2 linked regions of the Arabidopsis thaliana genome follow. The protein of the gene in region 1 interacts with the protein of each later gene in a pairwise test. Each region holds a gene or a part of one and is shown on either strand. Other genes may lie near its edges.

What was found. The genes of interacting proteins can lie anywhere in the genome.
Region 2: the proteins of CLC2 (region 1) and CHC1 interact in a protein complementation assay, tested with the Arabidopsis thaliana proteins (one study listed by BioGRID).

Annotation. Positions count from the first base shown.
Region 1 is NC_003071.7:16,723,009-16,729,206, reverse strand, and holds CLC2 (Clathrin light chain protein), read right to left. Parts: upstream 2,784-6,198; 5' UTR 2,644-2,783; coding exon 2,357-2,643; intron 2,009-2,356; coding exon 1,855-2,008; intron 1,542-1,854; coding exon 1,206-1,541; 3' UTR 1,000-1,205; downstream 1-999. Other genes in the region: AT2G40070 (flocculation FLO11-like protein), read left to right, coding at 1-486, 566-829; AT2G40050 (Cysteine/Histidine-rich C1 domain family protein), read left to right, coding at 3,459-5,288; NRPD1B (nuclear RNA polymerase D1B), read right to left, coding at 5,801-6,198.
Region 2 is NC_003076.8:4,568,449-4,574,646, forward strand, and holds CHC1 (SWIB/MDM2 domain superfamily protein), read right to left. Parts: upstream 2,547-6,198; 5' UTR 2,426-2,546; intron 2,017-2,425; 5' UTR 1,997-2,016; coding exon 465-1,996; intron 321-464; coding exon 248-320; 3' UTR 32-247; downstream 1-31. Other genes in the region: AT5G14160 (F-box family protein), read left to right, coding at 1-19; MPL1 (Myzus persicae-induced lipase 1), read right to left, coding at 2,994-3,316, 3,390-3,485, 3,572-3,651, 3,738-3,778, 3,875-4,018, 4,122-4,232, 4,330-4,470, 5,544-5,663 and 1 more. UniProt on the Arabidopsis thaliana protein: Involved in transcriptional activation and repression of select genes by chromatin remodeling (alteration of DNA-nucleosome topology).

The DNA.
Region 1 (6,198 bases):
TCTCGTGCAGCATCTCCTACAGTGAGGTCAAGACCATGGAAGCCGTCAGACATGCCTGGTTTCTCATTAGAAACTCCTCCAAATCTAAGGACAACATTACCCGAAAGGCCACTTTCAGCGACAAGAGGCAGACCTGGAGCTCCAAGCTCTCGTTCTGGTTCAGTTGAGCCAGGGGGCCCTCCAGGAGGAAGACCAAGAAGGCAATCATGTTCACCATCAAGAGGAAGAGCACCAATGTACTCTAGTGGTAGCTCTGTTCCTGCGGTTAATCGTGGATATTCCAAAGCCAGTGACAATGTTAGTCCGGTGATGATGGGAACAAAAATGGTGGAGAGAGTAATAAACATGCGGAAACTTGCTCCACCCAGATCAGATGACAAGGGTTCTCCTCATGGTAACTTGTCTGCAAAGTCTTCATCACCCGACAGTGCAGGATTTGGAAGAACGCTCTCCAAGAAGTCCCTTGATATGGCAATAAGGCATATGGTATGTATCTCTCTCTTCTCTCTTCCTCAAGTGGTGGCAATTGCGTTTAACTGATGATCAAACGTTTTGATGAAAACAGGATATACGTAGAACTATTCCAGGGAACCTGAGACCACTAATGACGAATATTCCAGCATCATCAATGTACAGTGTGAGGTCTGGACATACACGTGGTAGACCGATGAATGTTTCAGACTCTTCTCCACTAGCAACAAGCAGCAACGCAAGCTCAGAGATCAGTGTCTGCAACAACAATGGCATTTGCTTAGAGGCAAGTGAAAAGGAAGACGACGCAGGCAGCGAGAGAGGTTGCAGGTCCCCTGCAAGCTTACAAGGGAGATGAAGGAAGAAAGAAGAAAAGCCTTTTGTAAAACGTTCACATTTGAGATTCTCTTTTATTGTTTGTGAGTTTTAATTATCACACGAGTTTGATAATGATGATATGTGAAGTAGCGTTTTGATGTTTTATGTAAACCTCTCCACTCTCGTCTCTACTTTAACCCTAAAATGGATGGATCCTTTAACCGATTGATTTGAGATATTAACCACTATTCAATGGTAACTGACTAAAACATAAAAAGTTATCATTCCAATATGACATAATTATGTTAATAACACACATGAACCATAAAATCTCTCAGCTGTTTATAACACATAATGAAATGCAAAGACTGAATTCACACAGATGTAAGCAACGAATAAGAAAACAAAGGAGGTTTTTAAGCAGCAGTAACTGCCTCAGTGGGCTTGGTTTCGGGAACATTCTTTGGAGGAGCAGCCGCCTCCTCCGATGGAGGTTGAGAAGTGAGTTTCAGGTGAGAAGGTGGGTTGTGTTTGAGCTTCACCAATATTTGTCTCATTCTTGTTAGATCGGTTGGCTTACCGGGCTTTGGACCTTGAATCACAGAGACTGTTGGCTTCTTAGGATCTTGTTGCTCTTTTTTTCCTCTCCTTTTCTCTATTGTTGGAACTTCTTTAGGAACTAGCTCTGCTATTGCCTTCCAGTAATTCTTGCTGGATTCCGCGTAGAACTTCTCTTGGTTCTCCAGATACAGCTTAAGTGTTCAAAGACAAATAAACACATAAGTGAAAGTTTAATCAACACTGTAACAATGCAATATGCAGATAAAAAGGTATCAAAGATCACACACGTAATGAAGATAATCAATGTATTAAGATAATCTCAAAACTGACAATGCATTAAGATAATCAATCACAGTTGACTTAAGACTAAGATGGTCAAAGTTTGAAAATTTTAATATCAACAAGCCATTGACTTGCATTGACAATTCTCCACAAACCACATGACAACAACACAGATTGAGAAAAGATGATAAAAAATTCAAATCTTTTAGCAAAAGAACAAACCTTTTCCTTCTCTCTGTTAGCTGCTTTGTTGTTTTCACAAGTTACTTCAATCTTCTTATGAAACTCTTCTTTGTATTGATCAGCTTCCTCAATAATTTGCTTCAACAATTCCTTTTCTCTCTTCTCCTTCTCCTCAAGTTGAATTGCATTTTGTCTACACATAAACATAATAAAGCCATAGCACGAAATCAGATCTATACATCTTAATCAACTCAACAAGCATTACAAGCTTACGGATCAAGATGTTATTCTAGAACACACGATTTGAGCAATAAACTCTAAGCAAAAGTAACAGATCCAATCTAATAAACTGATTACTTCTGAGAACAATGGACACTAACTAGCAGATAACTTCAATTCACAAAAATTGTGAATCAAAATTCAAAATTGAAATTCTCAGATTATCAAAGAGATTCTCAACTAAATTTATCCACTTTATCGATTTTCTTCAGGAAGAAGTAAACAAAAAGCAACAAAGATCAAAACTTTGAGTAGATCTAACCTTCTCCATTCTCTAAGAGCAAATCCCTCATCTGATTCCATCTCCGACGGTGGTGGCAAGATAGGACCGTCGTGATCCCCGTTGGATCCGAAGATGCCGTCACCGTTGGAGTAAGCACCGTAGTCAGAAGACGGCGCTGCAAAAACATCGTCGACGGAGTCCTCGACTTGGAGTGAGCCGTCGAAAGCTGAGAAAGAATCAGTGGCGTCAAAAGAGCCTGAGACTGGAACAGACTCAGACGCATCATCGTTGAGTATGACGAAGGAATCGTCTTCAAAGGCAGACATCTCTCGAACACACAAAAAAAAAAAAAAAGGCAGAACGAAGAACTCGCGAATCTTGTCTTTTCAAGTGTTCTCAAGCTTATGGCAAAAATTAATAACGGAGATTTGTGACTATTTTTATTTCCATTTTTCTTAATGGGCTTTTTTCGAGCCCAAATACTTCCAATTCATCATGAGTATTCCGGTTTAGTTATGGTTTAGGTTCCAACCGATCCATTAGATTACAATTAATGTTCCATACGTGTTCTTCTTATCTTAATCAAAACGTTTTGCAATTTAGTGTGGGTTCGGTTGTTCTACTTTCTAATTCAACCGGATCATTGAAACTACGTGTTCTTCTTTTCTTGTTTAAAACGTTTTGCAATTTGGTTTTGGTACGATTGTTTCATTTTCCATTTCAAACCTTCATTTTTTTTTTTTTTTTGAATAAACCTTCATTTTCTTTTTGTGTGTTTCGTGATTGAGTTCACAAAGTCTCAAATTATACACTACTAATGAATTGGCACAATCATTGAGCACGATTAATATAGAGTCTTGAAGTCATGGAACATCAGAAATGAACAAAACTATGTGCAAAGAAAAGTTGATTCTTTATTTGCATGTAAAGAAGAACATTATCATCACAACTACTGAGAAAAGGAACAAAATCAACCATATGTTTTCACGTTTAAGTATATTAATAATCAAGAGTAGAAGAAAACTTTTGGAATCAAATTTTCGTATTTATAGAGGAAAAATGTTAACAACTTGATATCTTGTATGACAAATATTTTTTTATAAAAGCCTAAAACAAAAATAAACAAAGACTTAACACATTCATGGATTCTAGCGTCGGAGGATTTTATGAGGTGGAAAAGGATGGTAACCTTGTTTTGGTATACCATCATCCGAAATATTGCCCCATACCCCAAACACAGACCGTAACCTCCTCCAGTGACCTTCAACCTCTTTTCTTATGCCCTCGATCACGACGTCGAAAAATCAAGTCGTATTCAGACACTTATCCGCTTAATTCTTCCCCCGAGTACGTCCTTTCTACAACGACGACCTCTCATGATCATCATGTACTCCCTTTGTTTTGGTGCAACAATAAAGAATTTGATGCTGATGGTGGATGCTACATATGCGAAGGCTCAAATTCCGGCACCGACTATTATTTCTGCAACTATTGTAGCATAAAATTACACAAAGAATGCATTCAATCTCCACTTATAATCAAACATCCTTACCACCCTGAGCACTATCTCCAACTTTTCTTTCATGATGATAACTTTCGTAAGATTGAGTGTTTATGTTGTGGAAGAAAAGCACATTGGTTGATTTATCATTGCACCACATGCCAGGCTTTTATGCATCCCATATGTGCGATGAAGCCAATACCTTTTCTTATAGACCCACCAAAAAAGCATATCCATCCTCTCACTTTTTTCCCCAGACAAACTTCCTTGACTTGTAATGTTTGTGGTTTGTTGAGAAAAATTTATCCCACCTACGTTTGTTTCAGATGTAACTTTGTAACTCATAATGACTGTATGAATTCCCCACACATCATCAAGATATCACGTCACCGTCATCGTATCTCGTTCACTTTTTCTCTTACATCTAGAGAATGGTTTTGTGGAGTTTGCCGTTTAAGTATTAACGTTGATTATGGTGCATATACTTGTGACACGTGTAGCGATTATGTTGTTCATTCAATATGCGCTCTTGGGAAAGATGTGTGGGATGGAAAAGAACTCGAAGGTATACCAGAGATAATCGATATAACAGAAAATGATGGACCGTTCGAGGTGATATCTGAAGGAGTGATACTTTATTTTCATCATAATCATCATCTCCGACTCGAGGTCAGCAACGTTTATGATGAAAACATGCTTTGTCAAGCGTGTGCCATTCCTATCTATGAAGGTAACTTATATGTTTGTATGGAGTGTGATTTCATCCTCCATGAAACATGTGCTAAGGCTCCCCGTAGAATCCAACATGCCTTACATCCTCACCCACTTGTATTGGAGGTTATCAATAGCTTTACTTACAATACCTTCCGTTGCAACGCTTGTGATCGTGGTTCTATTGGCTTTGCCTATCACTGTAGGATGGAGGTATGCAACTTTTTCAAGCTTGATGTAAGGTGCGCTTTAATTTCTGAGCCGTTTGATTACAAAGGTCATGAAGATCCCTTGTTCCTAGCTTTAAACCCAGAAATAAAACCCATATGTCATATATGCAAAACAGAATGTTTAAAACAATTAAATTGCATCAAATGCAATTTCATTGTATGTTTTAAGTGTGTTACCTTACCATACAAAATAAAATATAAGCATGACACACACTTCCTCACAATTTCATTTGGTGAAGAAGTACGTGAGCAAGAATGGTGTGAAATATGTGAACGTAGTTTAAAGGATACATGCACAAAAGTATTCTACTGGTGCAACGAGTGTTGCACCACTTTTCATATTGAATGCTTAATTGGTGGAGACCCATATATCAAGCCCGGTCAATATTTCAATAAATGGGTATGCAGGGTTCAAGTTCTTCCCAAATGTAATATTTCTCGACCATTATGTGGTTCTTGCAAGAACCGTTGTATAGGGAAAATATATGATGTAGGCTACCGTGTTGAATGTTCATATGAATGTATTTAAACAATGTATCCATGCATCTGAATAAAATGTAATTTCTCTATTATTGATTTCAATTTCATAAAACTAAACTGATTTCTCAATTCGTGCAATTACACAAGAGCTCTTTGAATTAGATGATTTTCTGCCGGAGGAGCTGCATCGGTCAACACAAGATATAATTTCTAACCATGTGCTTATGCGATTAGAAAGGCAATCATTTTCGTCTCTCGAAGGTTTCAAACAAGAAGCAAATGAGATGGCAAATGCATTGCTCGATAAATAGTCAATGTCAAAACATCACTACAATGCCGCTAGACTTTATAACTAAACCGGTCACTGAAACCCTAAACCTGATTTTAGGACAAACGATCTGAAACTAGAGAACTGCATTTACACATTGTTTTGCACTTCACATCAGAGTCTTTTAATGATAAAAACCGCCATTCTCTCCACTCTTTATGTACATCAAAACAAAACAGTGGAGACTGAATGGTTTACCTAAACGAACCAAATCTTCTTTGGTTCTCAAGAGTTTATGTCTGCGTCTGGGACGGAGACTGAGATGATGGAGACTGAGCCTGAGCCTGAGTCTGAGACGGAGACTGAGTCTGAGTCTGGGATGGAGACTGAGACTGAGACTGAGACTGAGACTGAGACTGAGACTGAGACTGAGACTGAGACTGAGACTGAGACTGAGACTGAGACTGAGACTGAGACTGAGACTGCGTCTGAGATGGAGACTGAGCCTGAGCCTGAGATGGAGACTGAGCCCGAGTCTGAGATGGAGACTGAGACTGAGTCTGTGTCTGAAAGTCGTCACCTCCATTACCTATAGACTGATTCGGAGGCTGAGACTGTTCTTCCCCAGGTGGTGTGGCATCTTGGTTGTTCCTGTCTCTGTTTCCGCTAGGCCGAGGTTTCGTAAAGTACT
Region 2 (6,198 bases), on another chromosome or scaffold:
CGTTTTTGTTCAACTTTAAGTGTTTTTTTTTTTTAATAATGCCAATGTTATTTTCCTTTTGCTAATAAAAACATGACTTAACCATTAACGCAAAGGCTACAAAACAAAGCTAATTATATAAAGTAGTAATGTTTCAACATACACAAGATTACAGATACACTAGTTCACTTTTAAACCAGACTAATCTCAACAATATCTTCTACTAAAAATGCTCAAACAGATGAAGAGACTTGTATCGTCAAGAAACTCACCAACTCCCTGGCCCATCGTTCCCAGCTGCTGGCCTCCGGTTCAAGTAACGTATAACTGCATCTTCGACCCTGCAAACATTTTACCCCAAATTATGATTCAGAAACATTTTACAACTCTTTGACCAAAAAAAAAAAAAAACATTTTACAACTCTTAATACATATCATCTGTGCGAATAAAGGCCAGAGTAGCAGAGTCTAGATGATTAGCTTACCAAGGTTGGTTGAAGAAGTCTGATCGACGTTCTCTCTCAGCATTTCGACTGGCTTCTCCCGCAACGACCTTTAGATCCTTGCTCTGAGATTCGATCAGGGCGTTTATGAATTCAACTGGCGATTGGCTGAACCCCAAGAAAAATGCCCGCCTCCTCCTATGCTCATGGATTTTCCTTATGGCTGCACATATTGCTTCATCACAAGCCTCAATCTCTTTGTTCTTCTCTGCGTTGGCTAGCAAATTGTTCAGATCTCTTTGGATCGGGAAGGGTACATCCACTAGCACATCGTAACATGCTGATACGGCCGGATTATTTCCTGAGAGCTTGATTTTGTGTTCTAAGTGAATAGGTGGTGGAGGCGACAAGTGATGAGATATTTTCTGAGAGACCATAGTGAATTTCAACTTTTCTTCTCCAAAAACTTTCTGAAGTGCAGCATCACAGTTGAAGAAAGAGGGGTCATTTGGGTTCTGCAGTTTCCTCGCCTTAACGTAATGCCAAATTGCAGCGATGATTCTTGGGCGGGTTTCAACCTCAATCCCGAGAACATCCATCAATGCAGTAGAAAGCTTGAACTTTTCAGGGACGTAGTTCATCTCCAACCGTATACTAGCAGCAAACTCCTGATTCCCTTTCCTCTTTATCTCAAAGCCTTCCTGAGGAGCAGGTGATCGAGCATTCTCCCATATGATCAATGGGTTCTCAGGATACAGCCTCTGATCCAGGGAAACTGTAACCCTTTTGAAGAAAGACGAGAATTTGGGATGCAATGGGTTTGCTTTCTGAACAAACCCTGGCTGGTCGGGATCCACCCCATCTTCCAGTATCCTACCAATAATTTTAAGAGTCCATGTTGGCGGGTCAGCATTAGGATTCCCAGGGATCGTGTTGTTTTGGTTAGCAAACGAGTTGAAAACGTAGATCCTAAGAGTCTTCTGTATGCAGGGAGGGTTTTTAAGGGCTTCCTGGATGTCAACTTTCTTTCTAGTTAACGCAGCATCAACCCGAGACTCAAACTCCAGAAGTTGTGTGTATAAGGCAGACTCTGGCAAGATTGCAGCCACCCGCTCCTGCAATGACTTTTCTGGAAGCTTTTGTTTCTTTTTCCGAGCAGCAGGAGTTAACTCCATTGTTCTCATTGGGGAGATAGTGTTGTTACTCGCAGGAGCACCAGGAGGTCGCATCGGCGGTTTCTGCTGGAATCTCTTCATGTTTAAACTTCCAGGAGTCGTCAAAGAAGGAGAAGAAGGACCCAAGCCACCAATCCCCGGAGAACCTTGTGCTTGGTTCATCGTCATGCCTTGAGCTTGTAACTGAGCTTGCAGTTGTGCTTGAACTTTAGACTGTGCTTGAGCATGGGCTAGGGCCTGAGCTTGAGAGAACTGAAACTGAGCTTGAAAGTTAGCTGCCATATGAGACTGAGCAAAACCTTGGTTTCCAGGAACAGATGCAGAGGCCATCCCAGGATTCCCAAAAGGCAAAGGCGCAGAGCCTTGAGGCTTTTGTGGATTGTTGTTGTTACCAGACATTGCTATATAAACCTATCAGCCTGAAAAATTCAGAAACAAAAAATAACACTCTTGAAAAATAAACTTCAATTACACCTAACGTATCGTAAGCTTATCAGAAATCTAAGACATATATGCAGAAATTCAGATGAATGCAATAGATCGGTTACCTAGAGAAATCGAAACCTCAAAACCCTAATTTTCTAAGATTGCTGCAGAGTTCAACTAAATAGGAGTAATACCCAGGCTTAAAAACAACGTCGAAGAGAAAATGACTGAAAATGCGAATGAAGAACTCGATTGGAGAATTTTTGAAATATACTACTAAGTGGCCATAGAAAGATCTGGAATTTACAAAATCCTAAGAGATACAAAAAACAGAAAACCCAGAGCCTATACACCATAAAGATCGAGAATTCCTTAAAAAAACGAAGATTCGCAGCTTGGTACCTGCTTTTTTGATTCACCTTCTTTCCGGGATTCACCGGTGTTCCGTTGCTTCTCAGTTGTCGAGACTCGAGAGAGAAAACAAAAACAAATGCCCACCGGAGCTATCTATTTTACTGTCCGGGTTAAGACCCGACCCGTATTTTTAAAGCCCACATTGAGTTATATCAAACTGGCCCAACTTTAATCCATGTGTTTTTTTTTCAACGACAAATCCACATACAATTTGACGACAAAATTAAAAAGAAAAGCATTCCACATAATTTTGTTTTACTATAGTTTTTCGTTTCCTTTTTTTTTTTTTGTCAAATACGAATCTGTAGTTTTAGTGTTCTTTCTTAAATATACCTAAAACTAGGGTAAATTAGATAATGGTTGCCCCATTGTTTATAGATTAAAGAAAAAAAAAATCTAAATTAAATATTGGGATTATTTTAATTAGAAGCTAGTAGACTGGTATACTTTTTCATAAAAATTTTAATTTTATTTTTGCCCATTTTGTTTAGAGGGAAACAATTGAAGAATATGGGCACATGCAATTACATAAACTAATGACAAGGTAATAATATTATCAAGCTTGTCGTTTGAAAAAGGTAGCAACTTGGTTATAAACAACGTCTTTGGCAGTAACACCCATGATGAAATCAGCATGAGCATAGTCTTTCACAAACTGCACATTCATCTTATCGATGTCGTGATACTTAAACTGGTCAAGGAGAAACTCAACGTCTTTCACATCAGCCAGGCTATCTAAACCACCGTAGCTGAAAAAAAGCGGAAGCTCGTGTGGGATCGCCGATATGTTGTATGCCGGTGGTATCGCTTGACCGTAATGTTTTATGTTGCGATCACTGCTTCCATAGTTGTATTTTCTCAACTCCTTGTCTCTTACCGCTACAAATAAATAATTTGAACAATTTAAGGTTTATAAAATAATTTTTAAAAAATGGGAATTTGTTTCACTTACTTTGAGCAAGGTGGATCATGTTCTTGGTGGAAGTAGATTGAGGTTCGTTGGCAAGGAACAGATCAATGGTTGATGCGTTAAGGCAGCAATTCTTTCCTATGTTTTTGTAAAATTACGTTAATTAATATATGTAATTAATTCATCAATGGTAGATTGGTGGACTTTTTTAGTTGTAGCGTTACCAGTGATAACAGAGACTAAATCATAACAGTCGATCCCCGCTTTAAGGCATATAGCCTTTATAAAATCCCCTACTAATCCACTGCAAATGTTGTTTTAACTATTTTACGTAATCAAATCAAGCCAATAATAACAAGCATATTTTAAGAAAAAAGGGTGAAGATTTACCTTTTCGGGTTAAACTCTGGCCATCCAAGAATAGAGGTGGCCTATTTTTGAAAGACGATAAACAAGTTATTTTCATAACTGTAGGCACATATTTGTATAAGAATAAAAAAGGGTATTACAAGGGAGAAGCTAGGGACCTCGGCGAGGAAGGTTTTTGCGGCGATATCGCCGATGACGGTGGTCATGTGGCTGAGATAAGCAACGGGACTCAACATCGCCGCCGATCTCACTTGATCCACCAACCCTTTTTCTGAGAACGAAGCAAATCCTATTAACGTCCCCTGACAATTTCCATTTCATTTTTCATTCTATTATGAGAAGATATATTACTATAAGAAAAAGAAAAAAATCAGAGAAAAAATATGTTGATAACGTTGGACCCACCAAAGAGTGTCCGAGGTAGTGAATCTTTTGGCCTGTTAGGCCATGGATATGGTCAAACATAGCAGGCAGATCGTAACTCACAAGCTCGTCCCACGTCCAGTTCCAGAAAGCCTAAGTCCACAACGTGCCAACGATGTTAAATATCAGTTTCCTTAGTAAAGATATATACGTAATCTACTGGTTAAAACAGTGGTTCACTGAACCAGACCCGTTGAGAAGGGTTAAGGTACTTGTGTCTTCTGCTGAATCTAGTCCCTCTTGTGTTCCCCATCCACACATCGAATCCTTGATCCGCCAAAATCAACGGCAGATTTTGATCCGCTGGATTCAACAGCCATGACATCCCATCCTGCACATTTAACTCATGATTATTTGACTATCATAGTAATGTAAACTATAAGAAATTAAAGGACCATGTTGTCAAAGAGACAAATTACAATTCTGCATACGTACGACTGTCGTCTCTGTCCACATAAAACTTAAAACATAAGGCAAGTCATAAAGTATTTTCTTTCTAGCAGGCTGATGAAAATAGTAGTACTGATCTCATCAAGTTTTGTACTTATGCACTTTATCGATGATTTTTAAGAATTCGATGAGTACCAGAGTCGAGAGTCGACACGGTTATTTATATAATATCACTTACGTACGGTACAATCATTCTTCCATACCAGAAAAGTTGTTTATCACTTGAGTTTATTTTAATTACCTTTCTAGTAACGCTCCAATTATCACTTTATTTGTTGGACACACATGTTTAACACTCATGCTGTCTCTTTATTTAATGTTTTAATTTTACCACCACTAAGATAACACATATGCACATTCTTTATCAAAAAAAGATACAGACATTAATCTAATTAATCTTACTTGTAAGTTTCAAACTCGCACGCACATACGATATAAGGATAAATGTACATATATATATATATATATATATATATATATATATATATATATGTATGTACATACTTGTTGATGAGGCATCCACTGGAAGTATACACGTTTGGTTTTGGCCCACGTGTATATGTCTATTTATAGATGTAAATCATCTTGAAATAATATATGCACATATTCTCCATTTGTATAACTTCTGAAAACGGGTATAAAATGTTCTCCTAATAATGTTTTTCTCACTATCCCTTGACGTCACTTTCCACTTTTTCTTACTTTCAAAAATTTATGTAATGGAAAACAGCTTCAATGTAGTAATCAGATATTCCGAGTGCGATGCAGTGGTTTAATTACAGCTATATATGTTTTTAATAATAGACTTTGTAGTTTGGATGTATTTCATGCATGTTGGAACAAAGTTTGATATTATCACAATAATTATCTGCACATAAAAGTAGCATGCGTGTGTATACACAAGTTAATTGACGGTTAAGGCGATGCAAAAAGGTAAGGAAGAGTAAAACTTACGACAAGAATTCCATGTTGTATTAGGACAGGTTGTCTCTTTCCCCCATCTCCGGCGACGGCTCCGGCTCGTCCTTCCGGTATCCTTTGCATATTCAATATGTACCCATCTTGAGTCACCACCTTCATAATTTAACAATTAAAATAGCAGCTTTATCAGTTAATATATCGATGAGTAATCATCATCAATAGCTATATAGAAAAAAAAAGAATGTCGTACGTACATCATGTTCTTCGCACTTGTAACCAAATATGTGAACAGAAGAAGCGCATATGCCGCCGGCAGCAGTCCTCTGCGGTGGCTGTCCGGCAAGCCTGCCGAAGGTTCCACGAGCTTCAAGGGTCTTGAGGGAAAGAGCGAAGAAGATTAAGACAGATAAGGCTAAACCGATTGAAACGGACGGAACCATAACCGAACCGGCCATTGAGATATATATAGGGGTTATCACGTACGTTTATAGGAAAGTGAAAATGGTTTTATATAGAGAGAAGGGGTGACGGATAAGATAATAGAAAATGGAATTATTAGCTATTTATAAAAATGCAAAACCACGTTAGCAACTATGGATAGACAAAAACTTATTTAGAAAAAAAAACAATTTATGGTGTGTAAACATAAATTAAGAATTGAATCATGCACAAAAAATAAGACAAGCAT